Tamandua tetradactyla: one gene and its partners. The protein of the gene in region 2 purifies or fractionates together with the protein of the main gene of each other region. This does not show direct contact. Links are inferred from orthologs where the notes say so. Each region holds a gene or a part of one and is shown on either strand. Other genes may lie near its edges.

Evidence for each region.
Region 1: the proteins of MEPCE (region 2) and SNRPN purify together in Homo sapiens (affinity purification with mass spectrometry; 3 studies listed by BioGRID and IntAct, counting the BioPlex papers as one, with this or other methods). This does not show direct contact. The link is inferred for Tamandua tetradactyla from reciprocal best matches to the Homo sapiens genes MEPCE and SNRPN.
Region 3: the proteins of MEPCE (region 2) and HNRNPUL2 purify together in Homo sapiens (affinity purification with mass spectrometry; 3 studies listed by BioGRID and IntAct, with this or other methods). This does not show direct contact. The link is inferred for Tamandua tetradactyla from reciprocal best matches to the Homo sapiens genes MEPCE and HNRNPUL2.
Region 4: the proteins of MEPCE (region 2) and CCNT1 purify together in Homo sapiens (affinity purification with mass spectrometry; 3 studies listed by BioGRID and IntAct, with this or other methods). This does not show direct contact. The link is inferred for Tamandua tetradactyla from reciprocal best matches to the Homo sapiens genes MEPCE and CCNT1.

What each region holds. Positions count from the first base shown.
Region 1 is NC_135338.1:78,877,407-78,884,957, reverse strand, and holds the start of SNRPN (small nuclear ribonucleoprotein-associated protein N), read left to right. Parts: upstream 1-4,517; 5' UTR 4,518-4,561; intron 4,562-7,551. Other genes in the region: SNURF protein, read left to right, coding at 1,255-1,350, 4,412-4,517.
Region 2 is NC_135349.1:8,541,810-8,549,485, forward strand, and holds the start of MEPCE (7SK snRNA methylphosphate capping enzyme), read left to right. Parts: upstream 1-4,559; 5' UTR 4,560-5,777; coding exon 5,778-7,439; intron 7,440-7,676. UniProt on the Homo sapiens protein: S-adenosyl-L-methionine-dependent methyltransferase that adds a methylphosphate cap at the 5'-end of 7SK snRNA (7SK RNA), leading to stabilize it.
Region 3 is NC_135335.1:11,864,293-11,872,156, forward strand, and holds the start of HNRNPUL2 (heterogeneous nuclear ribonucleoprotein U-like protein 2), read left to right. Parts: upstream 1-4,831; 5' UTR 4,832-4,888; coding exon 4,889-5,459; intron 5,460-7,528; coding exon 7,529-7,664; intron 7,665-7,864. Other genes in the region: TTC9C (tetratricopeptide repeat protein 9C), read right to left, coding at 290-472, 2,930-3,167.
Region 4 is NC_135333.1:109,630,258-109,637,506, reverse strand, and holds the start of CCNT1 (cyclin-T1), read left to right. Parts: upstream 1-4,180; 5' UTR 4,181-4,431; coding exon 4,432-4,592; intron 4,593-6,187; coding exon 6,188-6,269; intron 6,270-7,249. UniProt on the Homo sapiens protein: Regulatory subunit of the cyclin-dependent kinase pair (CDK9/cyclin-T1) complex, also called positive transcription elongation factor B (P-TEFb), which facilitates the transition from abortive to productive elongation by phosphorylating the CTD (C-terminal domain) of the large subunit of RNA polymerase II (RNA Pol II).

The DNA of each region.
Region 1 (7,551 bases), on a different chromosome or scaffold from region 2:
TAGACTGTTCACTTTTTTTTTTTTTTTTTTACCTCTTGCAGACTATGAGAGTTCCAAATTCTTTAACTTCTCACACTTTTGAGGTTTGAAGTGGGTATCACATTGTACTTTTGATTTCCATTTCCCCAATGACCCTAGTGAGTATTTCTTCATGTACTTATTGGCTATTGGTAGATCTGGAGAAATGTCTATTCAAGATAGTTTACCTTCTTTTAAATTAGGTTGTTTTTTATTTTTGTTATAATAATTCTTCACATATTCTGGATCATAAACTCTTGAAATGGATCTAATCCTATGATGCACAAATATTTTCTCCAGTTCTGCCATTGTCTTTTCACTTAACAGTGTCCTTTGAGGGAAAATTTTTTCTTTACTTTGAGAAGTCAGATTTATCTATTTTTCTCCAGTTTCTTGTGCTTTGTGTGTCATTTAAGAATCCGTTGCATAATCCAAGGTCACAAATTAGCAATGTATATAATTTTATCATTTAAAGATCTATTACATATGACTTATATAAATATTTGAAGTTCTTGAAGCAGTTAAACAACATAGGGTAGTTAAGCCATTTGAGTTACTTTGATTTTTCAGTCAGTAATAACTAGAGTAATAACTGACTTATATTTTAGTTTTTTAAAAAAATAGCTAGGATTCAGAGAATTTGCTTTTAGAATATATCCTTTGAATTCTGCCTTTGAATTATTATGCTACATGACATTTTGCAAAATGCCATTTTTTCATATCTGCCTGGATTAGCATTTTTAGTTTGCAGTTTTATTAGTAGATCCTGCAATTCCTTCCTAATGTGGAAAACCCAGGGGAAAGATTTCATTCTCAGTCTCTTGGAGCAGCCATTTTCTTTTGTAAATCCTAGCAAAGCAACACTTGCATAGGAGGTTGCTTCAGTAAATTAAACTTTATGCTTATATCATACAATACAAATGTATATATTTTTAAAATAATATTTTTTTTCTAAACCATCTTTGGAAATAGCTATTGCATACTTGGTAGGGGAGTGTGATATTACATGTATGTATGTTGTGCTGTGAAAGGGCTACTAAAGGGATAAAGAAAGTGGTTTAGGACAGATCCTGCCTGGTAAATTGATTAAGACCTTTGAAATTTTGTCTTGTGTTTAATTAGATTGCAAACACTTTAAACATTTAGAATATATTATTGTTCTAAGTATAATTAAGTAAATTATCGTTTCATAAATTGATGAATTCTAGCAAACAAATCCCTGTTTTTCTATTTCAGGGACCGCTTACACCTGAGACGGACTACAGAACAGCACGTGCCAGAGATAGAAGTCCAAGTCAAACGTAGAAGGACAGCCTCATTGAGCAACCAAGAGTGAGTATGACCTGAGTTAGGGAAGTAGTGTAATTTTCCCATCTGTATAATCTGTGGATGAGTAATTGGGATTGATAGTCTCTAAACCCTGCCTAATATATATGCTCAGGAATCTCTTGGTGACTCTTCATGGTTATGGCTGTGTGTTTTAATTGTTATCCATCAATCTTGCACCCTCTCCCAAACTTTAATTATTGGATGTCAGTCTTCCTGGAGGAATTGTGTGGGTACTAGCTTTAAAGGATCTATAACAAGTTTTCATTCCTTCCAAAAAACCCAAAGCAAAATTGAAGAAATAAAAGCCAAACCAAGACACAACAAAATATCTCCCCAATCAATAGTGAATATGAATTAGAAGTTCAATCTATTCTCCTGGAAATGATGGTTGCTCTGTTTTCAGTAGATATATCACCAAATAGGCTCTTGTTCTTTGGTGCTGCAGTTTCTTTCCTGTTTCTTGACGTCTTGTAAATTTAGAGCTTGGAGGCTTCTGAATCTACACTCCTCTGAATCTCATTCCAAATTCATATTCTGCATTGTAGGACATAAATACTATATAGGCTGCATCTTACTTAGATTTCACTTAGTCTTTTGGATTGCAGCTTGAACCCAAATGGGAAATTGCAATAGGAAATAGTCTTTTAAGTCAAGTTTCAGGGAACATATTGTTTTATCTGAAACGCTTTTTAGAGCCATGTTAGGTCAGAGATTTAATTGCCATTTGATAACAAAGGAAGTAGAACTGAGAATGCCCAAATAAAGACTTAAAAATACAGTGATTGGAATGTGATGTTTTAAATAGAGTAAAATGTGAAAAGATAAACTACAGAGAAAATTGGAAAAATTTATTATCCAAGTCCCATTTCCACACCCAGCTGCTTCTGAATAGTTTCATGTATATTATGTTTTATCATTAAAGAAAGACTTTTAAAGCAGTGCCTTTTTAATACAGTATTGTAATCTCATTAAGGCCAGAATTCCCTATATTTAGAGGCCAACTTCTGTGTGTTTATGTGTATAATATCTGATTTATTTCAGATTCAGTTATTGGCTCAATTAAAATATTTTGTGGCCCTTGCTGCATACTTTTAAGTGGTATAGTGTTTTCCTAATAATTTTAATGACATCAGGACCAGATATTATTAAATTGTTTATTTTACTAATTTGATTTTTGTGTTGATAAAGCATACCTTTATGATATTTCTCCTGTATGTACTTGGTTTAATACTATTTCTGTTTTCCTCCAATGTAAGTTATGCCTTTGTCAATTGTTTTCTTGGATGTTTTCTATATATATATAAAATGAAGGATTTAAAAAATAAAAATCAATTTTCCTGTTAGATACATATTTCCAGTTTTTTTTTACTTTTCTTACTGTTGAACTATCAGATTAAATATTTTGGTAAATGTATTGTTGTTTAATTGTATTGAAGATTAAAATGTCCTTTCTAGGAATTAGAAAAATATTTTAAAATCATGGCTTGAGAAATTTGGGAAATGTAGTTGTTAGCAGATGATTTTTTCAAATTGTTATTGTGTTTGCATCTCCTTCTGCCTTCTGCCATAGCACGGTCTCTTGGCGCAGGACCATTTCTGTCTCCCTTGCACATAGCTGTCATTCAAGGTCAGTTCATGTTTTGTATAGACACATAAGGTGACTAGAGCCCTGAAGAAGAAGCCTAGCTTCATGTATTAAAAATCCCATGTATTAATTTAGTTTGCTTTATTTCGAGATGGATGTGTTCAAAAGGAGAAAATTCTGTTCGGTGTACTTTATTGGTTCTTGTTCTTGGGATAGGTAGGTCCTTATCTGCACTTAAAGATACAAGTCAATCGACCGTAACAGGGACTGTAAGGTTTCTTACAGTAATATCACAGTTGACTGGAAAGATATTAGGGAAGGGCATATTACCTCCTTTATATTGTATCAGAGGTGGGACAAGATAGAAGAAAAGATCAGCAACAAAAAATTGTTTTTGTACTTTGGAGAAAATAACTATAATTTAGTAATAATCCTACAATTTGTAGTGGTTCTGACTTGTACCTGGTTTTCTATAAATTGTTAGATTATCACAGATGTAATTGAGTCCCTTATATAACAAAGACAGTTTCCATCATTTATGTAAGCCTTTTTGTAATTTTAGTTAATCCCTGACTTTTGGAAATACAAATATTAAAATTTTAGAAGACTTTCTATTTTCAATGTGATTTTTGTTCCCACTAGTTACAAATAGTAGTCTGTTGTACCCTTTAATGAATGTTTGAAGAATCATAGTGGGGTGAGGGATATGATGTAGTATTCTGATGACTGTTTTCAGGCTTTTCTCATTAGCCAACACAATTTGTAACTTTCTTCACATCTACCTAACCACAAGATGAAATTGAAGCCAGATAGGAAATATGTTAAGAAATTTTCTCTGGGATTCCCTGCTTTACTAGTAGATGGTTGCCTTACATAGTTTGAGAGCTGTTAAACAACCTTGACCCTGGCAGTTCTTTATTTTAGGCAGTAACTTCTCAGGAGGTTCAGCATGGATAATATCCTTAATGGTTTACAGAGAATAGCTTATTTACTGCTCCCTGAAAACAAACAAACAGATACCCCTCAATCAGGTGATAAAGGATGTTCCCAGATAAGACGTTTAGAAAGCAAAAGTGAATGATGGTTGTGGTACCTATGATGTTCTTATGAGACTTTATAAGCCTAAAGCAGGTCTTGGTTTTGTAGTTCCCTGGGTTTATCCCTTAGTTCCTTGACCATCGTCTTGTTCAGGCTCCTACCTGTTTCCTGTTTTATAGTTTCTTCAAAAAGTAATAGAGGGCAGGCCATGGTGGTTTAGCAGGCACAGTTCTTGCCTGCCATGCTGGAGACCCGGGTTTCCAGGTTCAATTCCCGGTGCCTGCCCATGCAGTAAAAAGAAAAAGGTAATGGAAATCTCTGACCCTAAATTAGGATTTCCTTAAATGTAAGGGTCTCTATTTTTTTCTTTCTTAATGTCATCCATATAGATACTTATCTCCCTATCACTTATGAATATGTATATAACCTGCTCTTGTCCAGGTGTCAGTTGTACCAGAGGCGATCCCAGCAGCAGCAAGTACCTGTGGTGGATTTCCAGGCTGAACTGAGACAGGCATTCTTAGCTGAGACACCAAGAGGTGGTTAAAGCACTATTGGAACATCGAGAGAGCTGATTCAAGTGAAACCCAGGTTAGAGCTGATGTAGTAATGATATAAGGTATAACTAAACCATTAAAGAATAGGATATTTGGGGTTCTCTGTATTGTCTGGGAAAGGTAAAAGAAAAGAAAAAAGATTCTTTTTCCTAAAAAATTTCATATCATAATTATGCTCATTGCAGAATGTTTGAAAAGTAAAATCAGGCCCTAATATTCCTGCCCTGATACTTTTGTCATTTTTCTCTATTGCCCAGTAGTCTTTATAGTACATGAGTATTTTTTGTGTAGTTTTACCTTTATTTTTGCTGTATTGATTATTAAGTTAATATTAAATTAAATATTTTATTAGAAGTGGTTTTTTTTTGAATATCTTGCTAGTGAATATTTTATGATTCCCTTTTGTGGGCGACTTCATTTTTTTTCTGCTGATAGTTTTAAAAAATCGCCAGTGAAGAGCTTTGCATTTAGATAAGATCATTTATTCATATATGCAGTTGTGAAAATAAATTGGATCAGGTTATATGAACTTATGGTACAGGTTCTAACTTACATTATGAAATACTATATTAGTATCATAGTTTTAAAAATTGTGAGAGTACCAATCACAATACACTTCTCACAAGCATTGATTTTAATTACAATATCATTTATGCTTGCTGAGTTATAAATATATTTCACATTCATTAGCAATGAATTTTAGAGAAGCTTAATATGTTTCCATGCTTATTTACTAATTAGTCCCTGTTTATTGTTTTGTCTTTTTATTACTTTCTCTCTTCACCAATGTATTTCCATCAGCAGACAATGTAATAAAATACTATCTATGATTTTTCAATGTGATGTAGATTTATTTACAGTCTGTCTTTTTATGTTGATTGCTTACATTATTAGGAAAGAGTTACTCAAAATTTGAGATTAGTAAAGTGCTTTGTTTTTTTCCTTTGTAATTCTCTTTTATTAGAATGTTCTTATTCCATAGGGTTTAATAGAAGAAAATGGGAGAAGGGAAGGTAGGGGTTAGTGATTTTCAAGACTTTTTCTTTTTGTTTTTGATAAACTACTTTTTTGTTTTTGATATGCTACAATTATTTGGCCCTGTTTCTGGCCACCACTTAATAGTTTTAAATTTAAGGAGACAAACAAATTTTCTAGCATGGATAGTCCTGCCTTGCTGATTCTTTTCCATAATATTTTCCAGTAATTTCATGGACTTGGGTTGCAAGGAGATAATGGTTTTTGATAATTGTCCACCTGTTCCTCAGAGTAAGGGCTTTTTTCAGTGCATTGGTATAGATAGACATTTTAAAAAAAATTTTGTTGTGGAAACATACAACACAAAATTTCTCATTTTATCCACTTTCATGTGAATAAGTCAGTGATAACTATTCCTTTCTAAACATCATGCTACCATCACCACCATCCATTCCCACAACTTTCTCTTTACCCAAAACAGACTTTGGACCCATTAAGCAGTAACTCCCTATTTCCCCTCACCTAGCTCCTTGTAGCCTAATTTACTCACCATTCAGTAAATTTGCTTAATAAGGTATGTCATGTAAGTGAAAGTATACCTTATTTATTTATTTTATTTTTTTGTGTCTAGCTTCTTTCACACAACGTGATGTCTTAAAGTTTCTAATACATGCTGTAGTATGTATTAGATCTTCATTGCTTTTTATGGTGGAATAATACTACATTTTATATGTATACCACATTTTATTTATCTTTTCACATGTTGACAGATACAGGTTTGCTTCTAACTGTTGGCTATTGTGAGTAAGGTTTCTGTGAACATTGATATACAAATATCTTCAATTTTCTTGGGTATGTACCTAGAAGTGAAATTGGCTGGAGCATATGGCACACTCAGATACTTTTTCGTTCCTCAGTTACATTCATTCACATCGCCTGTTAAATTAGTGTAATATTATTTAAATCATATATTATAATCTGCAAGGAGGACTGTCTAATTTTTTTGATGATCAGAATTTGTTTTAGTCTCCATGGCTCATCTACCTAAACAGTGCTAGTTATTAGTATCACTTTAGAGCAAAGGGTCTGCAAACTCTCTGATACATTGCTTTTTTGTAAGTAAAATATTGGTATACATCCATGCCCATTCATTTATGTGTGGCCTCTATATTCATTGACACTGTTATACCAGATTTGAGTAATTGCCACAGATATTGAATGGCAGAGAAGGGCTAAAAACCTAAAATACCACCTGTCCTTTCAAAGGAAAAGTTGACTGACTGCTGCTTTAGAGATATAGGTCAAGGAATAAAACACCACAGTGGTGCCAGTGGGGATGGTGGTACTGTTGATGATATATTTACAAGGTAGAGTTTCCTGTGTAAAAAGGTCAGGTCTAGGAATTATGCTAAAGACTTTTGTACAGCTAAGTGGATAGGTAAGATATTTTAACAATTGGTAACTTTTGTTTTATGTTTTGATCTAAAGCAGGCAATAAATAAAGAAAGATGGGAAGATAAATTAAAGACTTTCTGTATTTATGTTTTTGAACCACAGCATTAGGTTGACTTTTCTTTCAGTCATTGTATCCATTTGTCTTTTTTTTTAAAAGCTGGTTAGTTTCAGTCATGTTGGTGAGCTAATTCAATTTCTGTTTACTCTTCTTAGAAATGTCTTTCACTAATGTTTCTTCATTTCATTAAGCAGTCCTTATGATTATCGTGTATAATGAATAAATCAGTCTAGTCACTGAATATTTAACAATTTACTTTTCCCTTTTACCTGTTTTCAGTAGTTTTTGTGTTTTTATAATTAGCTAGGCATTATGAATAATAGTTTTATATAGTTTACTTCAAAATTTAGTATCTAAAATCTTAGCATGTTAAATATCTAGTTTTGGACTGAGGGAAAAAGTATTTATGACTCGTCTTGCTACATTGCTTTAAGAGATCATTATAAGCAGTGGTTATTATCATCAGAAATCATTATTCCACAAATAGTTTCAATTAAGGAAAATTGCTATCTTGTGGTTTAATTGGCATTGCTTTT
Region 2 (7,676 bases):
CTGTGAAGCTCTAGTAATTTACATATTTTTTAAATTTCCACTTATTTCTACCCAGCTGTTAGAAAGTAAATGTTTTTTTGTTTTATCAAACTAAACTTATTATAGCCCTTCTATGTGTTTTTTGCTTTTTTAGACTCAAAGCATTTAAACCGTTCTTATTTTTGAAACAATTAAAACAAGCATAAAAGTTCCACAAGGGCCTTTAGAACTCATAAAGTTCATCTCATCTTTTTACAGATAAAAAATACGCAAAGAGAGGTTAAGAAGTTTCCCCAAAGTCTCAGTGTTAATACATGGTAGAGCCAAGATGAATTCAGGCTTTTTGTCTCTAAATCCTACTAATAACATATCTATATCCTTTTCAGTGAACGCCTTTCTGACTGCTGGTTTTGAGCATTTTGAAAGCACTACACCTGAAACTCACTCTTGTAACTCTCCCCTTATAAAGAGATCCCAAAGCAGCTTAAGATGGATCCTTGTGTTCATATACACTTCCCTTTAAAGGATCTGAGAATTTTAGGACCCTGAAATGGCCGTGCTAGAATGAACACTGGATTGTTCAAGGTGTAGGATTCCTCCCTTTAGATCCCAAGATGAACTCAAAAGGTGTTTTATATAGACTTGACAAAATGTGGCCACAGCATGGCTAAATGCAAAGTATGTCTAAATTAAGCTTTGGCATTTTATGTCTGTTTTCTTACGTCTATAAATGTGAATAATTCAGATGTGCTATTGCATAGCAACTTTTCCTTTACATTAAAGAGCAAATTTTCTCACAATTTCCATCTTAATTCATCACTATCAACCTCCAAAAGTATATGCTCCAGGAAAAAAAGACAAGTGGGAATTTGGGGGAGAAACACTGCAGCAAATTGGTCTCCTTTATTTTAATCCTAAACAAAAGCTAGAAACCAGATAAAGTTAGGCTGCAAAAGGAATATTCATTTGACCACAAATGACAAGCATATCTTCTCCTGGACTCCAGAATTCCAAAAAAGGATCCTAAGAAGCCCCCGTGAAGGAAAACTGAATTATAAGGAGAGCTATTCGAGGCAAAAAAAAAAAAAAAAAAAGTACGAGATAACATTTAATTTTTTAAATGTATTTCTACATAATATGCTTGTATATTCACAAACTATGTCTAGAAAAATACATAAGGACCTGATAAAAGTGCCTCGGAGGAGTGAAACTGGATGATTGAGGGCAGAGGTGAAAGGGAGACTTCCTTTTCAATGTAGTCTTCTGTGCATCTTTGGAATTTTATAACATACATATTACCGCTTAAAATGATTTTTTTTATTTTTAATTCTTTAAATGAGATAAAAAGAGTATTTTCATCAACCTAAAAATGCAAAATTTTCCAATAGTTAAACTTAAATCCTGATCGAAACCTATAAGAGCTATTACAGGCCAAGTGTGTTTTTGGAGCCCCAACCAACTAGATAAAATTGTGGATCACTGGTTGAGTTAATAAGACATAGTAAGTCTATATCTTCCCTATAATGTAGTGTGGGAATATGATGAGGAACATTACTTTTAAAGAAAAGCTCTAACCTGATCAATAGAGAACCGAAAGCCAGAAAATCACTTCCTAACAACTCAAGTCACTCACGACTCCTCTGTTAGAGACGAATTATCTTCTTCCACAAAAATGAATATTGGAAGCTAGTTCTGAGAAAGGGGAAAAAATACCATATATGGTTAATAAATATGTAAAATGCCACCAACTGTCATTTGACCAACTACTAAATGAGTGGGGGGCTGTAGACGCAGGAATAACATTTGAGATTTTAATTTCTTTTCCTACCTTATGAAAAGGAGAGAGAAGGGGAGGGGAAAAAAAAAAAAGTCCAACAGGGTTTAAAGTAAAAAAGTAAAGGAACCAGGATAGGTCAATAAACTCAATCAGACCTACTCAAGATAAGAAAGAAGAGTGAATAAGGAGGAGAAAAGAAAGTACTTAGAAATAATAAAGAGAACCAAGGGAAGGTGAATGAGGCTCTCCAAAAAAAAAAACAGAAAGTTTTCTTTCACTTAGAACACTAAAAATCAACACATTCACTCTGAGGTGAAATCGCCTAGTTTAGTGGTTCTCAAATTGTGGGCCAAAGACCCCTGGAGGTCCCTAAGTCTCTTTCAGTAGATGCACAAGGTCCTCCTTTTTCCAACTACCTATCGGTGTTAGGCTGGATTTTCTTCACATACTTCAACCAAAACAAGATATCACAACAAATTGGATTCAGAAACATGAGAATCCCACTGCCTTCTATTTAGCCAGACATGAAAGAGATTTGCAAAAATTTAAACAATGCTATTCTTCATGCTGTTTTTTTTTGTTTTGGAAAATAAAATTTTCATTTAAAACGTTACTCAGGGGCACAGGGCTGGTTCAGTGGCAGAATGCTCGCCTGCATGTGGGACACCCACGTTCGATTCTCACCCCATGCACCACCACCCCCTCTGCCCCCCAAAATAAAATGAAATGTCACTTAGGAGTAAACATGTAATGGGTTTATTACTGTTATTTCAAAATTAATAAATATTTTAACTTTTTCTGCTTTAATGTCTAATATGTTAACATCAATAGGTATAAATCTCATAAATCTTTGGCGTTCTCGCTAATTTGAAGAATATCAAAGGATTCAGAGATCAAAACGTCTTAGCACTGATCTAACTAAACAACTGCATTCAGTCTTGCCCATATTTCCCTAAAACATTAATCCTTCTGTCTCCTGGTCCCTACCCACCTCCCCAGCCCCCTTTAGAATGTGCTCATGAATTTCTCCCTCCTGATATTATTCCGTGAATCCTTGGTCTAATAGAACAAAAGTCAACCCTTTAGAACTGTCCTCTAACACAGACTCCAAGAGCCTCAAACAACAACTGCATTTAAAATTTCTCTTAAGTCTGATTTCCTTTGGATGCGCATGTCTAACCACAGGTGTACTACTGCTTATTTTCCAGCCACGATGAACAGATACTAGCTTTTCTTTTCTCTTTCTTCTGAGTGTATGTGACTGTGTGCAACATGTGTGTGAATGCGTGGGCTCAGCAAGCACGATTTAAAGTGAACCTTTTAAAAAGAAAGAAGAAAACCCAACGACAAAGATTCCAGCTCACCTTACTGCCCTTATTACCCCACTTCACAAGACATTTACTCTTGGACCTAACAGCCAGTAGCAGCTCCCTGAACTAAACCTAGTTCAGACTCCTAAATAAACGGTGAACTGAAGCTTCTTAATTCAGGGAGTGCAAGGAGGTGCAAAGTTACGGCCATTTATCAAGACACAGAATCTTCTCCTTGGGGCCTGCTGGTCTCCTTCATTTTACCATCCATACCCCAAAAGGCTTCCGGACGTGCCCCGAACTGTTACCGACTCCAAACCAGTATTTTTGTGTCGAACTCCCAGATGCTAACCCACTTTTTCCCTCACGACGTGTGGCACAATAAACACCTAACTCCACCTTTAAAACCAAAGAGAAAAGCTCTGGCGTCCGCATTTTCCCTCTCTCTTCCCTCACCAATTTCTCTAAGGGACCGCACCCAGTCAAATGTCCTTGACCTCCCTCAGAAGCTAATAGTGGCTTTCGAGCCTCTTTTTCCGATCAAGAATCCCACCACGGGAGGTGGCCCCTCAGCTCCCTCCGAGGTATCATCAGCATCCTCATTCCCACTAAGACCGTAGTTTGCCATTATACCGGGTTAATTTTGTTCGTTCGTTCGGGCTGGGTTTGAGGTGAGAGATTCTAAGGAGAAAGGGTAAGAGTTAGTTGTCGCCCTGACGCCCTGAGGAGAAAATTTCTCTTCAGGGAAGAGGTATCAGGATCGGGGGCGCCTAGCAATTTCATCTGCAACCAGAAAAGAGACAGCTACCTTCTGGAACGAGGAGGACCTAAAGGCGAGGAGCAGAGCGGGCAATTGCAGGGATTCTGCAAACCCCTCCAACCTCGATCCAGTTTTCCCGCCACGAAGAAAAGGCGCGAGGACAAGCATAAGCCCCACCCCCAGAGGCGTGAGCACATGGCCGAGGCGCATGCGCTGCTGGAAGCACCTACTGCGCTTGCGCCGTTGAGTTATTGCCACCATTTTCCAACAGAATCCACCACGACCACCAAAACTACAAATCCCATAATCCTCGTTGGCTTCGCCTTTTCCTTGGGCGGCAGGGGTAGCGCCTGATTTTTCCTGACACATCTTTCTTTTACTACCTTGCTTTTCTCTCTGCCTCAGATAGTTTTTTCTTCCCTCGATTCCTAATCGGCCTTTTAGTCTCGTTCACGCCTTTATTTGAGATTATCCTTAGCCCCACTTTCGCCTCTACTGCCCTCTTCTCCACCACAGGACGAGCATCCCCAAGCACTCTTCAGGCAAGGAGAATAGTGGAATAACCTCTTCCCCACTGGCCACAGTAGGGGGATCCCAAAGCCGGCTGAAAGCTCTTCCTCGCCCACATACGTTTTATATAAGCCGGCGCGAAGCCGAGCGTGTGCTTGGGAAGGACTGCGTGCGAGGTGGCGGTGGCGGCCGGGGGCCGAAGTCCGCGGGGTGGTGGGCTCGTGCGCAGGCGTCAAGTGGTGGGCGGAGGCTGGGGTCTCCCGGCCGTGGCTGTGGAGGCGGGGAGGAGGGCGTGGTGTCCCCAGGTGCTCACCATCAGAGAAGGCGGAAGGAACCAGAGACCGGCTTGGCCACTTCGGAAGAAGAGGAAGTTGGAAAACATCGGCTGTTTTAGTGTTGTCGTTTGCTTTTCAGTTCAACAGATTATTTTCGAGGGGGGTGAGTTAAAATGGCCTATTGCATTTTATTGACAACAGCTCGTACAGGAAGACGGTCAGTACGCTCCGCTCCTTCCCTTCCTCTACTTCAAGGCTCACCCCTCCGCCCCTTAGGAAGCCCTTCTAAGTAGGTGGGCAAAGGGGGTGGGAGACCAGGTCATGAATAATTCATGAGCCCGCCCCTTTCCTCAAAAGGCCACGCCTCCCGGATCGTGCTGACGCACGTTGCGCGTACCAAACCTGAGGAAACGACGTAGCAGTTCCCGCCCACAAGACGGAGGGCGGGGCGTCGTCCCTAGCACGTGCTGCATCTACCCGCGCAAGCCCAAAAGGGTGTGCGCAGGCGCTCCCCGCTAGGGGGAGGAAAGAGGCGGGGTAGGGAGGTTGTTGGGATTAGAGCCGGGCGGAGACCGCTGAGACTCATTCCTCAGGAACAAGGGTCGGGTGTCAAGGAGACCTTTTCACACCAGCTCCCCGTCCCACGCCTACGGTGGGTGGGATCGCGTGGCAGAGACAAAGGATATCAGTAGGGACGGACATAGCCGCGAAGGGAAGTAGGGTGTCAGTTTGGGGTGGTGGGCTTTTGGGGGGTTGAGCGGGGGGCTATATTTAAACTCCCCGGAGCCGTTAAGTTGGTTCGTACTCTGATGCGCGCGCAACCAGGGTGGTGGCGTAGTGCGCATGCGTAGCTCCGGGGCGAGAGGAACGCGCTTCGGCCGTGCGCGCTCGCGATCGAGTGGTGGTGGTAGAGGAGAAAGGGGTCGGCGCACGCGCGGTTGATTTCTCGAGTTGTCTGGGTCTCGCGGGCATCTTGTTTTGGTCTCGCGGGCGAGTGGGGCGCGCTTGGGCGCAGGGAAGGGGGGGCGCTTGGGCGCGAGACTAGGCGAGAAGAGCAGAGCTGCGCGCGCACTCGGGAAAGGGGGGAAGGGAGCAGGCTTAGGGAGGGGGGTTAAGCCCCCGGATTCCCCTCGTTACCCTCGACTGGGACGGAATAAGGGGAGGAAATGATCGAGATGGCGGCGGAGAAGGAGCCGTTTTTGGTGCCGGCCCCACCGCCGCCGCTCAAAGATGAGTCGGGCGGAGGGGGCGGCCCCACGGTGCAGCAGCACCGAGAGGCCGCCTCCGGGGAGCTCCGCCGCGGGACGGAGCGTGGGCCGGGACCTCGCGTACACTCGGCGGGGACCCCGGCTTCTGGGGCCAGCAGGGAGAACCCCGGGGCTGCCTCCACTCCTCGAGGCGGCCAGCAACAGCAGCAGCGAGGGGGCGGCCCCCAGGCGCAGCCGCAAGGGGAGGCCCGCTTGTCGGACCCCCACGGGCGAGCCGCTGCCCCGGACGTGGGGGAGGAGCGACGGGGAGGGGGCGGAACAGAACTGGGCCCCCCTGCCCCTCCTCGCCCTCGAAATGGCTACCAGCCCCACCGGCCCCCTGGTGGGGGTGGGGGCAAGAGGAGAAATAGCTGTAATGTAGGGGGAGGTGGTGGGGGCTTCAAACATCCGGCCTTCAAGAGGCGCAGGCGGGTCAATTCGGACTGTGACTCTGTATTGCCCTCCAACTTCCTGCTGGGGGGCAATATCTTTGACCCACTGAACCTGAATAGTCTCCTGGATGAGGAAGTGAGCCGAGAACTCAATGCGGAGACCCCCAAGTCATCCCCACTTCCGGCCAAGGGGCGAGATCCAGTGGAGATCCTCATCCCCAAAGATATTACTGACCCACTCAGTCTCAATACTTGCACTGATGAGGCCCACGTAGTTCTTGCTTCGCCACTCAAGACTGGTCGGAAGCGGCATAGACACCGGGGACAGCACCATCAGCAGCAGCAGCAGGCACCTGGAGGGAACGATAACCACTCGGTGCTGCCCACAGCCCCCCTCACTCCTTCACTTCAGGGGGAGGGCACCACACAGCAGCATAGAGGCCAGAACCGGGACGCCCCCCAACCTTATGAACTCAACACGGCCATCAACTGCAGGGATGAGGTCGTGTCTCCCCTTCCATGTGCCCTACAGGGTCCCACGGGCTCCCTTTCAGCCCCTCCAGCTGCCTCAGTTACCCCTGCACCCCCGTCTTCCTCCTCACGACACCGCAAACGTCGCAGGACTTCCAGCAAGTCGGAGGCAGGGGCCAGGGGTGGAGGCCAGGGTCCCAAGGAAAAGGGCCGAGGGAGTGGGGGAGGCCGCCACCACCACCACCCTCTACCTGCAGCAGGCTTCAAAAAGCAACAGCGCAAGTTCCAGTATGGGAATTATTGCAAGTACTATGGGTACCGCAATCCTTCCTGTGAGGATGGGCGTCTTCGAGTGTTGAAGCCCGAGTGGTTTCGGGGCCGGGACGTCCTCGATCTGGGCTGCAATGTGGGCCATGTGACCCTGAGCATTGCCTGCAAGTGGGGCCCATCCCGCATGGTGGGCCTGGATATCGATGCCCGGCTCATCCACTCTGCCCGCCAGAACATCCGACACTACCTGTCTGAGGAGCTGCGTCTCCCACCCCAGACTTCTGAGGGTGACCCAGAGGCAGAGGGTGGGGAAGGGACCACTACCATCCGAAAGAGGAGCTGCTTCCCGGCCTCGCTGACAGCCAGCCGAGGTCCCATTGCAGCACCCCAGGTGCCACTGGATGGAGCAGACACGTCAGTCTTCCCCAACAACGTTGTCTTCGTCACGGTAAGAGTCCGAAGGCTCTTGGGTTAGGGGCCAGGTACGGAGATGGGATTAAATGAGAATGTGGCAGGGGAAGGTTATGACCCAGAGGGATTTCAGAGCGTTAACTCATCACTAGAAAAACCAGATCCTCAAGAAAAGGGTCTTAACTGGCAAGTGACTGCTGCTGCTGAGTGTCTCAGTCCCCTCGTTAAACTGGGAAAGGTGAGGTCTCTTTGGGGCTTTAACGTGTTTGCAGTC
Region 3 (7,864 bases), on a different chromosome or scaffold from region 2:
TGTATCACCCATCAAAAATCAAAAAAATTGAAAAATAAAAGGAAATAAAATAAACCCCATTTTCACAAATACTCCCTCAGGAGGAAAACTTTATTTGTCCTTCATGCTTGGTAAGTACTGTTCAACGCTATGAAATATGTGTTTCCATCTCCACTTAAAGGATAAAAACCCAAGGCTCGGAGAGTTAAAGAAACTTGTCCAAGATCCCACAGCTTCTAGGTCGAATCTGAAATTTGAACCAAGGACAATTTTATATTGTCCTTTCTACGTCGGGCCCCTTCTCTCTTACCTTTTGGCTGTCTGTTGCTGGCAGCTGTGAGGTAGTGCCGCGCCTGGTCATAGTCCTGCAGGTGGTAAAAAGCCACTCCAGCCCGGTACAAGGCCTTGGCATTATCAGGCCGTCGTTCCAGGACTTTCTGACTGTATTCTTTCACTCGTTCATAGTTCACTGGCTCCATTTGAAGGAGGCAGGCTAATGGAGCCAAATGAAAAATGAGAGAAGAGGAAGGAAGGCCTCATTATACTAAATTCCACCAAACAGCTCAAGGCCATACCCAACATAGGATGATACCAACAGCATTCACTCATGCAACAAACACTGGAGTGTGTCTATCATGTGCCAGCATACTTCTAGGCACTGGGAACGCAGCAGCGAATAGAAGCTTTCCATTCCTTACGTCTGCTTCAATATTTACCGGATGCATACTACATACCTAGCGTTATGTTAGGCGCAGCTATAAAACAGGCCAGAATGCTCTTTAAAATGTATTTAAAACGCTCATTGTGTCTATTGTTCCCAAGCCTCTTTGGCCTGAATCCCCCATTTCGCCACAGTTCTTGTACTGCAGCTCTGCTAGCAACAGGCGCCATTAACTGTGTGAGAAAATAAGCAAGCACTGTGCTTTGTGCTTGGCAAGTACTACCTTATTCACTGCTCAACCCTATAAAATATGTGTTTCCATGTAGAAGCCAAGGGTTTAAAACAAGACCTGCAGAATTTGTTGGAAGCAGCTGGCTTCAGGATGGCGGCAGTAAACTGTGGAGACTGTTATGTAGAGCAGTCTGGGAGGAAGAGAATGTTTACCCCAAATGGTTATGTTAAGTATGAAGAACACTGAAAGATAAGAACTTTGCTCCCTCAGGAAATGCATGCATGCCTATTGACATCCTATGGTATATAACCAGGATCTGGTTAAGAATAAAACTGTCTGAAGTCTGTCTGAAGTAAACTCAAGCTTCAGACCCCCTGAGCCCATTTGTGTCTTTCTCTTTCTTCCTTTCTTTTTTTTCTCATCATTCCTTAATATCCTTCGAGCTCCGTTGCAATAGGAAGCAACATTTCCATCTCCACTTAAAGGATAAAAATCTGAGGCTCGGAGAGTTAAAGAAACTTGTTCAAGCTCCCACAGCTTCTAGGTAGAGTCTGAAATTTGAACCAAGGACTCTCTAACTTCAAGATCACCATCATTCTCAATGTTGATATATTGCTTCGCTCTCCCCTCGGATGATTTAATGGGACCTCGAAATACAAAACTGCTTAGGTGGCAATGTTCAAGACAATGTTCTTCCCTTGTATTAAGAAGGGAAATGTATTTTCTATTTGAAATTACAGTATTACTTAATCATGGGGCTGAGAAGATTGAGAAGCAGGGCTGATAAGAACAATCAAGGGCCTGGACTTATATTTGTATCCCTACCACAACATCCCCACCAAGTGGTCACATGGTTTGTACTTAGCTATTTCCCTAGTGGTCAACTAATCCATCACCCTCGCTTTATTCATTTCACAGCTAATTATGATCATTGACCATGCCCAGGCACACAGCCAGGAATGGGGAATAAGAGGAACCAGAGACAACCTGCTGATTAAATAGAACCTGCATCCTAGTCCCTAAGTGGGAGGAATATATAACAGGCACATTTTTAAAAATGCTTTGCAAGTCTGGCCTCTCTCCTGTAAATATTATACTTTACCATCCACCTACAGGGGACATGACTCCCAGGGATAAGCCTCCCTGGTGCTAAGGGATTATTACCAAGTGTTAATCAGCAATGCTTTTGGAGAAGGACCTGGATCAAAAGGCGGAAATTTAAATAAAATAGAACTGTATGGCTAAGAGACTTCAAACACAGTACAGAGGTCATTCTGGAGGTTACTCTTAGGCAGGTCTCAGCCACATTTCACAAATTGTCTCAGTATTGCAAAGCCTCAAACAAAAGTGCCCCCAAGGGTCCTTAAGACATTACAGGCAAGCCAACACCTATCTGGGAATCTGTGAAAAGCTATTTCTCTAATATAACAGTTTTACTGATTTAAAAGAGATAGAAGTTTCAATGGTAGAATGCTCGCCTTCATGCGAGAGACCCAGGTTCGATTCCTGGACCATGCACCCCAAAAGAAAAAAAGAGAGATAGAAGTTACCAGTAATTCAAGTTACCATCTAGCTGATTTATGGGAAGGAGGAAAACGAAAAAAAGTTACCGAAAACAGATGGCTTACACCACCAACTGAAGTGGCTTCTTTCCCAAATATCAAATTTTCCTTAGAGAAACAAAGCCCTAGCATAAATTTGGTATTTTCTCCAGAGCACTCAAAATTCTCTAAAGCTTAGTTACTGTAGGGTCGAAGGCCCACCAGCATCATCTGGAAGCTTTTTAGAAACAAATTCACAAGACCAGCCTCACACCCACTAAATGGGAATCTCTGCCCTTATGTTTTAATCAACTCTCTAGATGAAGTTTGAGAAGCCCTGCTCTAAAGAAACTAATCAGAGCCCTAACGGATCGGAAATAAGTTTCAAACTCACGCCAGAATCATTGGGTGACAGTGCAAAAAAAAGCATGTCACTGTTGTTCCCGACGTTAACAGAGTTTCACGTGCCTGACAGTGTGCGGATACTCTGCAACCATTCTCCAGCCCTCTTCTTACCAGCTAGATTGTTGTAGCAGTCTGTTTGGGTGCTCTGCAGGATGCTTTCTTGTTCAGGTGTGAGGGTCGGGCCCTGAGGTCCCAGATCAGGTATCGGGGAGGGCAGACTCGGATCCAGACCCCGCAACTGAAGCAGGGCTCGATGGTACCTACTCACGGCATCTCGGTACTTTCCTTCCCGGTAGCGCTGGTTTCCCTCCTCCTTGTACAGCTGAGCCTCCTGCAGCCGCTTCTCCATAATTCCTCGTCGCCCTGGACTCCTGGGGAATTGGAAAGCGAAAGAGCAACTGAAGGCTCTGGGGATGGGAGGAAAGTAACTGATTTTAGCTCCCGATTTAAGAAGCCAGGAAATTACCCTTATTCAGGCAGCCCCCTCACCCCGCCCACCAGGCCCCGGGAGGGGACCTTTGCCTAGTTTCTACTGCAGCCCTTTCCTCTCCTCTCTGCAGATTTTCTCAAGCCCCACAAATGCGGGAAACTATTTAGGGAGAGGATGTGGGAGTAAGAAAGCCAAAGATGAAGTGATTCCCTAAACAGGGTGATCTGCAATCGAGGAGATTTCCCCCTCAAAAGCACAGGCCCTAAGGAGTGTGAAAACCAATTGAATTTGCGTCCTCCTTTGTTTTGGACACACCTCCCTGACCTGGAAGTGGAAGGGAGTAGGCGGAGACAACTGCTAAAAATAAAAAAGCAGAGGGGATTTTCCTCCCTCCCAGTCCTTTATCTGCCAGTACAGTCATCTGTTGGTGCCTGGGCTCTGAGCTGAGCAAGCGACGGTGAATGAGGCCGGTGCCAACCGACACCCGGCCCAAGGCTAGGCCGGCCGCAGTGCACCTCAGTCGCCAGCCCAGCACGCTTCGCGGCCAGCGCCTCGTCCTCTGCTAAGACCCAAGCCCGAAAGTCTGCTCTTGGACTTCAGTTGACTGGCCGGGAGCACGGCGAGGAACGAGTTAGTCCCCGGACAGTTTCCTGTCGCAAGAGTCGCGCGCATTGCGCCTCGGCGCCCAATCAGAAGCGGCCCCGGAAAAGTAATCCGCCGAGACGACCCCGCCTCTCAAGCCTCCCCCTACGGACCAACCCGAAAAAGTCCCCCGGCAGCTCCACCAATTGGGAAAACCCAGGCCCACGGCTGACCAATCAGAACTAAAGATGACGATTCAAGCAGGCCAATAGGAGAGAAGAAAGGCGGGGCCAGGGTGTTTGCTGCTAGGCAGAAGTCGAGGCCTTGAAAGAAGAGGAGGCTCAGGGGTTTCTGTACTGCTTGGTTCTGTAGCGCCCTTTTAGTTTAATAATTAGAAAAACAAACTTCCCTTATAGCTTTTTCTTTAGCAAGTGGAGAACGATACTTTGTTCCACTCTTAAGAAGCTGCTGCATGCATAAACACTGGGGAAGAACCAGACACACGAGCAAGCTCTAAAACGACAGTGCAGGGCTGCAAATGGAAGTCAGACGGGAGTAAGGGCAGTGAGAGGGAGGGAGGGGCGTATGACCAGGGACTCCGGGAGGCTGCGCAGAGCCCTCGGCTGGAAGTACGGAGAGACGGGCGCGCAAGCGCTTCCGTGCTACGAAGCACTTGAGCCGCAGTCAACCCTTCCAGTCTCAGGCTCCGGCGCGGCTGCGCAGTAAAACCACGGGCAGCGAGGTGAAGGGAGCGGGAGGAGGAGGGAGGGGCGTGGCCGCGGTAGGGGACAGCGAGGGGCGGGAAGAAGGGAAGGAGCTCCCCATCGCGTTGTTTGGAGCTCGGTGGGGCGAGGGGGGGAGGGGGAGGGAAGGCGAGGCCAACACGACGTAGCGGAGGTTGCGCGCGGCCTGCGCTGCGTGCGTGCGCTCGCTCGCTCGCGCGGGCTCAGTGCTGGCGCGTGAGGCGGAGGCGGGCGGCGGCAGCGCCTGCGCGGTCGGGTTCGGTCGACGGTTCGCAGGGGAGGAGGCGGCGGGAGGCGGAGGAGGCGGCGGCGGCGATGGAGGTGAAGCGGCTGAAAGTGACCGAGCTGCGGTCGGAGCTGCAGCGGCGGGGCCTGGACTCGCGCGGCCTCAAGGTGGATCTGGCGCAGCGGCTGCAGGAGGCGCTGGACGCCGAGATGCTCGAGGACGAGACTGGCGGTGGCGGGGCCGGGCCCGGTGGGGCCTGCAAGGCGGAGCCTCGGCCTGTGGCCGCGTCGGGCGGCGGCCCGGGTGGAGACGAGGAGGAGGACGAAGAGGAGGAGGAGGACGAGGAGGAGGACGAGGAGGACGAGGAGGCGCTGCTTGAGGACGAGGACGAAGAACCACCCCCTGCCAAGGCCTCGGGTCAGGCCGCGCAGCCGCCGCCGGAGCCCCCGGAGGAGGCAGCCATGGAGGCCGCAGCCATGGAGGCCGCGGCCGAGCCCGAAGCTTCCGAGAAGCCGGCGGAGGCCACGGCAGGGTCAGGTGGGGTAAATGGTGGCGAAGAGCAGGGCACCAGCAAAGGGGAGGAAGACGAACCCGAGGAGCGGAGCGGGGACGAGACGCCGGGATCCGAGGCGCCGGGTGACAAGGCCGCGGAGGAACAGGGTGAGGAGCTGGCAGCGGAGCCCGGCTCCGAGCTGCCCCGTGCGCCCGTGAACCCGCACCGCGCCCTGCGTGGCGGGATCCGATCTCTTGTTCTTACTTGCCTGAAAGTACAAGATTCCAGTCGCCTTTTGCTGGGACTTCCCAGGGGAGGTGACTTTCATCCTCTACCCGCCGTTCTGAGAGATTTTGGCTGCCTCTGGTGGCCCTGCTCTCAACAGGAGGGAGATTCCTACCTAACTTGTTTCTTTGACGGTGGTGGATGGCAGAGAGTGATTTTTGCATGCGAACTGCTTGTGAGCTACCTGTGGAGCGGTCTCCCGCGGTTCTGGTTATGTTTTCCAAAGCCTTGAGCGATGAGAAATTGGTGACACGGACAGCCAGACCGACAGTTGGAGGCTTAGGTCTTTGGGCTATCTGGCTATTTAGGTTTGGGGGCTTCCTTTTCCCCGTAAAAATATCAAGCAATACACTAAATCAGTCAAAGCCCTGTCCACCAAAAGCCCGTTACTAGAGGTTGAGCCACCCAGAGAATCGGGGAAATCCAATCTTGCTCCTGCTTGAGCAGCAGAGAGAGCTTCTAGTCTGAAAGTGTTTGGGTTTAATAGTTAACTACTGAAGAGAAAGTATTAACTTGGTACATTGAGAATATGTTAGTTCACTTTGCTTGGCTAAGGTATTTTCCTTGCTTGCATTGTTATTTTTTCAATGTTCATCTTCCCACTGATTCACTGGATGGGCATATTTGTAGATCTGCTGTACACTTGCCCGAGCTCTTAAATTTCAGGCCCCTGACTTCCGGAATTGAAATGATTGAGGTGCTGGTGGGTCCCTTGAGTAACCCTGTAGAAGAGAATTCGGTAGTGGAGTCACCCCAGGGCGTTTGTGACCTTTCTCCCTAGTTTTGAAGTGATTTCATGATTAGGGCTGATCCATCCATATCAGTTTCTGTCAGAGTAAGGAAGGAAAACTAGAGTCTTAAAATTAAGTGGGTTGCCTTAGTTCTTCTTACAATACATTTTTAGGGGGTTACTCCTGAGTATTGTATAATTGGAATCCACTCTACAACAATCACTTGCAACTTGCAGGTTGTTTGTCGTATGTCCTGGAACGAAAACCCCATTACATAACCTCTGACTTATGTGTATCCCAGATAGCAGATAAAAAATGTTGAGGACTAAAGCAGTGCTTTTAATCAATTATTAAAAACTTTTTTAGTGTCGTAAAATACAAAAACCTAAGGGAAAATTCCAGGTGTTTTCTTCTTATAAAGAATGTTGCTAAATATACAACACCTTTCTGCCCCAAATTTTGTGCAGTAGGAAAAATTCCAGGTGTTTTCTTCTTATAAAGAATGTTGCTAAATATACAACACCTTTCTGCCCCAAATTTTGTGCAGAGGGATGCAGTATTATTTATGGGTCTCTTGTGACTTAATGGTTTCCTTTTGCAACTTTCAGTAAAGATCCACGATAAAAAATGCTGCTTTGTACCATGCACTTGAGTCCATTTGCTGCATAACCATGGCTATGCATTTTAAAAATTGAAAGGCAAACTTTTAAAGCATTAGGTGTTTCTATTTTCATGGAGCTGTGGGGAAGTATTGAAAAATATATATTAAATGCCTAGTTTAAATTTGACAGTCAGTCAAAATTAAATTAACCTGTAACTTTTTTAAAAAAAGACTTTTATGTCATGTTGATGGGAAAATCTGCACGTTTGACCTGATTTAAGCAGTTAAATTTAGAATGCAAAAATTGTCCAGTTTTTATCTACGCTTGCTGTAATTAGCGCATAATGTCCAATGTGTTCTATTTTATATTTTAAATAAAATCCCAGCCAATGACAGGAAGATGATCTTTGGAAATAAAATGTTCTGTATGTGCAGTGGGAATAACCTGGCTATTCTGATTAGACACATAATCAGATCCCCCTTCTAGTTTTTGTGGGTTTTTTTTTTCCAACTTTTTATTTTGAAATATTCAAACCCCCTCCTTTAGTTTTTATTGGTTCTGAGCTTATTCTACTCTCCAGTTTGAAAGCTGCTGATTTTCTTTCCCTCCTTTTTGTAGGAGATGACCAAGATAGTGAAAAGTCAAAACCAGCAGGCTCAGATGGTGAGCGGCGGGGGGTAAAGAGACAGCGGGATGAGAAGGATGAACATGGCCGAGCTTACTATGAATTCCGAGAGGAGGCTTACCACAGCCGGTGAGGGAAACAGTCCCTTTCATTGAAGGGAGTGTCTGCTCTGATATCGCTATACCTGATGTTGATTAGAGAGTCTGGAAGGAGGGGTGGATTAAAAATGGAATAGGTTTTTATAGGCATAAATTTTAGATTGATTTTACGAAATTGAAGCTCCTGTTGCCTTCTCTCATTGTTGAAAAAAAGCTGTCTGCTGGGATTTT
Region 4 (7,249 bases), on a different chromosome or scaffold from region 2:
GAATCAAGTGCCAAAACCACTTGATTTTGGCCCAGCCTTATTTATTTATATCTTAAGCTTCAGTAGGTAATAAGTAGAAAGAGCACTGACCTGCACTCATGTCTTAGTTTTGCCACATCTTTCATATCAATAAAATTTACAATGAACTTTTATACATATTGTAGAGATCCAAGGCCCAGGCCCCCCACTCCATATTAAGAATAAGTTATTGCTCCTTTTATCTACCATATCAATAGAAGAGTAGAACATATGGAATAAAAATAAATAATAGGGGGAACAAATGTTAAAATAAATTTAGTTTGAAATGCTAGTGATAAATGAAAGCAAGGGGTAAGGGGTATGGTAGGTATAATCTTTTTTTTCTCTGTTATTATTTTATTTCTTTTTCTGTTGTCTTTTTATTTCTTTTTCTAAAGCGATGCAAATGTTCTAAGAAATGAATATGCAACTATGTGATATTAAGAATTACTGATTATATATGTAGAATGGAATGATATCTTAATGTTTTGTTTGTTCTTAATTTTTTTAAATTAATTAATTAAAAAAAGATAAAAAAAAAAAGAATAAGTTATTACATGTAGCCACCTAAAATGACCAGGACAGAATTAAAGTTCATAAGATTTCCTGGGAGTGGGGTAGGTGGAAGAAGAGTTTGAGATAAAATTTGAATAAATTAACTAAGCCTCAGTGTTTTATTCTTTTTTATTTTAAAAAATGGCAATGATGATAACAATGAGTCTAACTTATTTCAAGTAGTGGTGTTGTGAAGCCACATGCTGGTTTGAGAGAGCGGCTTGTTAAATTTTTAGGAATTTTGAGAGCTGATTATTAAGTCACTATTAAAAATTAAATTATATAAATTTACAAATGAGTATTTTACCTTATATATTAAAACTGAATTAATTATATTAAAAACAAAGGTAATAGATACTCACACTCACTGCTTCCTGGTTATTTTATTAAATTTTGCTATTATCTATGCTTGTGAAGTTATTTACATCTTTTGTATCTATATGGAAAAATATGTTTAATGGTGTGCACATCTTTTCCAACTCCATGATCAGTGATGTCACATTGATTGCTTGAGATCAACCATGGTGGGAGAATTTACAAAAAACAAGGGCTTAATTTACTACTGGCTTGACTTAAAATGATAGAAAAATATTAATAAAGCATATTAAATTTAAGTGTTTTATGTCTGTACTGTTATATTGCTACAAGCACAAAAAACTAAAGAAACATTCTTCCAGTATTAAAAACTATTATCCAGTTCAGCAAATAAGTTTCTCAAGTCACTGACAAATTAATGAAGTTGACATAAATCATTATTTCACTTTCATCTCACTGATTAATGTAAATGAATATATCAACCAACATTTACACTACACTCATCAATTGCAACCATGGTTTCATTTCATATTTGCTACCAAACTGTGATTCAAGAGTTTGACAAAAGTCAACAAAAGCATCCTGTGAGAATTAGATGTGTATTGGAAATTTGCAATGAAGAATATCGTATACTTTATTTTTTATAAATTGTGTGCTGCACATCTTTATATCAGTAAAAGTTACAATAAACTTGTATGCATATTGTAGAGACCCAGGGTGCAGGCCTTCCCCCCCTCCATATTAAGAATAGGTTACTAGGGTACACGGGTAGTTCAGTGGTTAGAATGCCCACCTTTCATGCGGGAGACCCGGGTTCGATTTCCGGACCATGCACTCCCCCCCCAAAAAATAAATAAGTTACTGCACGTAGCTGCCTACAATGACTGGGACAGAACTTAAAGTTCAGTGATCTTCGGGGGTGGAGTGGGGACGGGGGGTGTGTGGAAGAACAATGGTATTGTAAACCAAAGCACTGATCATTGTTGACAACAAATCTCCAAGCTCCTGGTTCATCAGACCCTGTTGAAACTGTTCTTATAAACCCTTGCACTCTTTGTGGAGTTCTTCCATTTCCTGACTAGCCATCACTGGGAAGAATCTTCTGCTTGTAAGTTCTAATAAAATTCACGTCTAACTCTGTGCCCGATGTGTCCTTCTGTCTTCAGGCAGCCCTGATCCAAACCCTCCAAAAGCTGGCTTGGAACATGTATATACACATACACATTTTTTTTCTGGTTAGCTAATTAATCATTTGCCAGCACATAGACACCATGGATGACCTCACTGAATGTGGCATTGGGAAGATATGGGCAATAACACACCAACTTTTCAAATGAGACTATATGAATTTTGGGGAGAAACTGTTTTAACAGTAGTAAATGGTAATGTTTGACACAACTAAAATTTCTCATTTTTAAGCACACTGGAAAATAGGATGAAACGGTGACATATGCTATAATCCTGTAACCACCAAGATTAGCTTAGTGAATAGGAAGAATAGTCCTATAGGTGTGATTTTCAGGAAACAGAGTCTTGACAATAAACATATATTAACACCTACTCTATGCCAGATGGTAATGTCAGAATGAAGAGGTGACACTGGAGATTACACAACTACTTAAAAGAAGAGCTGAGATTTGAATCCAAGCTGAACTAAAAACCTTCTGTTAGCGATTTAACTATCGCTGTTTCCTACTTTCAAATAATTACATCTTCAGTCTAAAAATATTTCCTTTCTCTGATTTACAGAGGTCTCCCTCTTTAGTGAGGCAGGGTAGCAAGTCATTAGTTAGTAGCTGCATTGCCTGACACCTGACAGATAAGGGAACTTTTCCCTGAAAGAATGGTACACTTAAGCAGGAGAGCAAATTCAAAGCATTCATTAAAATAGATTCGGTGGAGAATCAAATACAGGTCAGAGACCTATGTAAGAGTGATGAGAGAAATACTGTTGGTGGTTTCAAAGACAATACACATGACTAAACAACTAAAAAAGTGCTTATTAAAAAAAAAAAGCCTGTGATGGAAGCTTGAAATCATAAACTTTTAAATGTTATAATCGGAAGTAAATCATTTAAATCTTCCTGACCCTCCATTTCTCTGAAGTAAAATGGAACTAATAATAACTGTAGGAAGTATGTGGCAGAGGGAGCCTGAAATGGAAGGAAATACTTCTGAGAATGAATTATAATCAAACATACTGAGGACAGCAGCTGCTGCATCTAGAAGTGATGGGAAACCCCAAATAATACAAACACAAGACAAAGAATTCTAATACTGTACAAATTTAATTAAGGTAAATTCAGTATGGTTCCAGAAAAGCAGGAGCACATGAGGCAGTTTGCCAGAACTAGGGAATTAGACTTGATTTTAAAATCTACACTTATTAACTCTGTGGTGCAGAGCAAACTCCTTGATATCTTCGAGCCGTTTATTGTAGAGTGTTGTGAACATTTATTTGACAAAGATTTATTGACTACAGAGTTGGAGTAGTTAATGGGGATACAAAAAAATAAAAGGCATGATCCTTCCCTCTAATAATTTCAATACAACATAATAAATACTACAGTAACAATGATAGCAACATCTATTGAATGTTTCCTTTCTGTCAGGTATCATCAAAAGTGGTTTTCAATGCATTTAATCTTCACTTAATCCTCAAAATTTAAATCGTAGGTTGTATATAATTTCCATTTTATAGAAGAGGCTCAGAGGATCGAACAGCTATCAAGCCTTGAAACTGTGATATATCTTGACAAAGCGCAGGAACTTAAAAATTTGTGCTTGTGCGGTGTGATGGAAGCGTACGAGGCTGAAAGAGCATCTTTAGTTTACCTGCTTTGCAAAACAGAGATTAAAATATTACTAACTCTTGTGGTTGCGCCGATTACAGTGTCTTCTTAGTTCCGGATCACCTTGTAAAGCTGCTTTTAAGATAGGCTGTATTATCTTACATTGCTACCAACAAAGTAAAAGCTTTGCAGATGCTTTATGTTTTGATATATGACAGGGCCACTCTCTTTGATTCTTTTTTTTTCTTCAGTTTTTTGACTGTCTCACCTATTGTTCTTCATCTCCATCTATTCCATTTTATATCTTCTTGTCCGCAAGAAAGCAAGTTATCTGAAAAACCGCCCAAGCGCGCACCAGTAGACCCCAGATAACGCCACAACTGTTGCGCTGCGGCGTAGTCCCGAGCGCGATCGCTCAGCCGTGTTCTCGCAGTAAGAGACGTGATTTTGAACGAAAACTCTTAACTCCACCCTTCGTCCCAAAGGTCACATGACGGGCGCCTGCGTTCTAGACCCAAGGTCTTTGCTGATCATCTACTGGCTGTTAATTCAGCTACGGGGTGTCAAGAGGTCCGTTCCGGAAGTAGATCTTTTGACTGTCACTCAATGCGGAAGCGTCCCAACCTAGCTGTCGACCCCTGGCGGAAGTTCGTCACATCGCAGTTGTTTCTGCACAGCGGATGTGTGTCGCCGCTTAGGTGACGCTGGGAAGTACTTGCAGCCTCCGCCGCTGCCTTCTGGTTGAAGCACTATGGAGGGAGAGAGGAAGAACAACAACAAACGGTGGTATTTTACTCGAGAACAGCTTGAAAATAGCCCATCCCGTCGTTCTGGCCTGGACTCTGATAGAGAACTTTCTTATCGCCAGCAAGCGGCCAATCTGCTCCAGATCATGGGGCAGCGTCTTAACGTGTATCCTTTTGGACTAGGCCTTCGGCCTTAGAGTGGGTCCCGCCATGCTCCGGCATCCAGGCCTCAGTACCTGTCAGGCACGGAAGGGGGAAGAGGGTGGACAGAGGCTGGATGTCTAGGTTGGAGAGCCCACAATTGGGCAGGTTGAAATTCAGTGTTCGCGCTGGGTAGCTAGGCGGAGTTAATTTCCCGCTTTCTCACGCGTGCCGCCGACCTTGCTGGGAATTCGTATCCTTCCCGGCTTTGTGTTTTAATCAATCCTTTGTGGTCTCTCTTCAGCTATTCTGACTTCCTACTCTGACGGCTTTGAGATTTTCCTTTTCCGCTATACCTGGGTGTCTGGGAGGTTTGACTGTTTTGATGGCTGCCTCCCAAACAGGGTGTAAAGAAAGTTTTGAAAAGTTCAAAACCCGAAGGTCTTTGTAGGGTGTCCTGGAACTAATGTCTCCAACGGCTTAGGTTTAAATTCCGATCCACTCATTTACTAGCTGTTTAAATAGCCTATCGATTTCTTGGTTTACTTCTCTGTAAAATGGGTTGATAACTTGGATTTGCTTCAGAATAATGCTCGTGTTTTGTGGAATTTTTAAGGAAGAAATGATGTCGGTTTAGATTTGTAGGAGTGTATACCTAAAATCTGATGTTTTTAAAAATCATTTGAAAAATATTGGGTTCTTCTTAAGTTACGTAAGTGCTAATGTGTATTTGCTTTCATTCTCAAAGTTGAAGTAATTTTAGTGTTTTTTTCCCACTTGTTTTTGTTTGTTAGGAAATAAACTGTTTGTGTCAGAGAAAACTAATACAGGTTCCTTCTAGTCTGTGCATATGAGAAATTATTGTTAGGTTGCAGCCTCTGTGAAATACTGTGATGCTGGCCGTAATGTTTGTGCCTTAAGATGATGCTTCAGTTTGAAAGAGGTGTTCTCCTTTATTATTGCAGATAACCAATTTACATCCCAAGCGTCCAGTCAGTAATGAGTTGTCTTTTTCTTTGAAATTTTGTTTCAGCGCATTCTTAAAACTTTTTGTATCCATTTTGTTTTTAAGGTTGTTCCCAGCAGGGTACTGCATTATCTCTGTCTACCCAACATTGCTTTCTGAGGTTTTTAGAAGAAATGCATTTTAAAATATTTCCCTTCAGTGAATGATTATCAAACGATTCCAGTGTTTCTACCATGTGAGAAGGCTTCTTGGCAGAGACCAGAGGAACTGAAATGTAGCTTAGAAGTTGAGATACTGGAGAAGTATCCAGGGGCCAGATCTAGGAGGGCCTTGTAAATCACATGAAAGAAATATTGAGCTAATGGGTCACTTTTGCAGTAGGCAAGTGACGGAAGGGTTTAGATCATAAATAGTTTTGTTTATGTCTCATTTTGGTCCAGACTTCCTGAGAAACTCATTTGTTAATTCATTTTGTTTAAGACAGTGTTCAGTATCAATTGGCCATTAGTAATTTGATGCAAGAAAACAGATCTGCTCTTTAATTTGGAGAGGTAAGTGTAAGATTTTTAAGTGGTCTCTTTGGAAGGTGATAAAGGTTGTATTGTAGGGAATTGCTGCCTGCCTGTTTTTGGGCCTTAACTTGAACACTTCAGCTCACAACTGACCATCAACACTGCTATAGTATATATGCATCGATTCTACATGATTCAGTCCTTTACACAGTTTCATCGAAATGCAAGTATAATTTTTAATATGGTATTGTCCTTTTGTGAATGATTTCAAATGTTTGACTTATTCATAGAGTGTGAATTGTGATCTCTTTTATGCTATGGGGAGAGAATCTGTGAAGCAAGATATTGTTCCGGTAATGTAAGGTATTGGTAGAATGGGTGTTGGAGGAACTGTACAGGCAGTCCTTTGAATTTGTGAATTAAATATTCCTGAATTCTGCTGAGTATCCAGTCAGATTGGATCCCTCCTTCCTCTAGCCATTCCATACCTCTGATTGCAAGAAGCAAACCTTTATTAAGGGAGAAGTCAGCATTTTAGCACTAAATATAAACTATCTGATAGAGCCAGAATGAAAGGTTGTGGGTGAAGAGAGAAATTTGAAGAGGAATTACATAATGCATAGTTGTCTTGCAAGTTCTGAAAATATTTTACAGTAAGAAGTATATATATATATATATTATGATATAGATTTGGAATCTGGGAGAAAGAAATCTCGTCAGTGTGTCCACCCTATACATGTGTTAATAATACTTCCCCTTACTTTTACCTTTTAAGCTAAATCTTCCTTCCTATATATATTAAGCTTAGCCAAGATAGACACTCATTTTTCTGAGTGTCCTCCAAATTACCTTCAGGTAACTTGTTGAGTGGATATATGATTGGTAATTATCCAATACAGAGATAATCTTTTGGTTGACCTTTTCCAAAATCCAGTGATACATTTAATTTGTAATTGTTTATCCCCCCTAGGAATCTATTTTAGATGTATTTTGGAATTAGATAAAAAGTATCACCCTTTTAATAAGTTAATTCTAAGGGTTTGGTTGTGATGAATCCGAATTCCAATTTGAATGGACTTAATGAATTGTTATAACACTGATATATTTATGTCCTGTTAAGCCCCAAGGCATTTATTTTCTTAGACAAAAAAATTTTTAAGTGACGCAAACACTTAATTGGCATGTTCTAGAATTCACAAATAC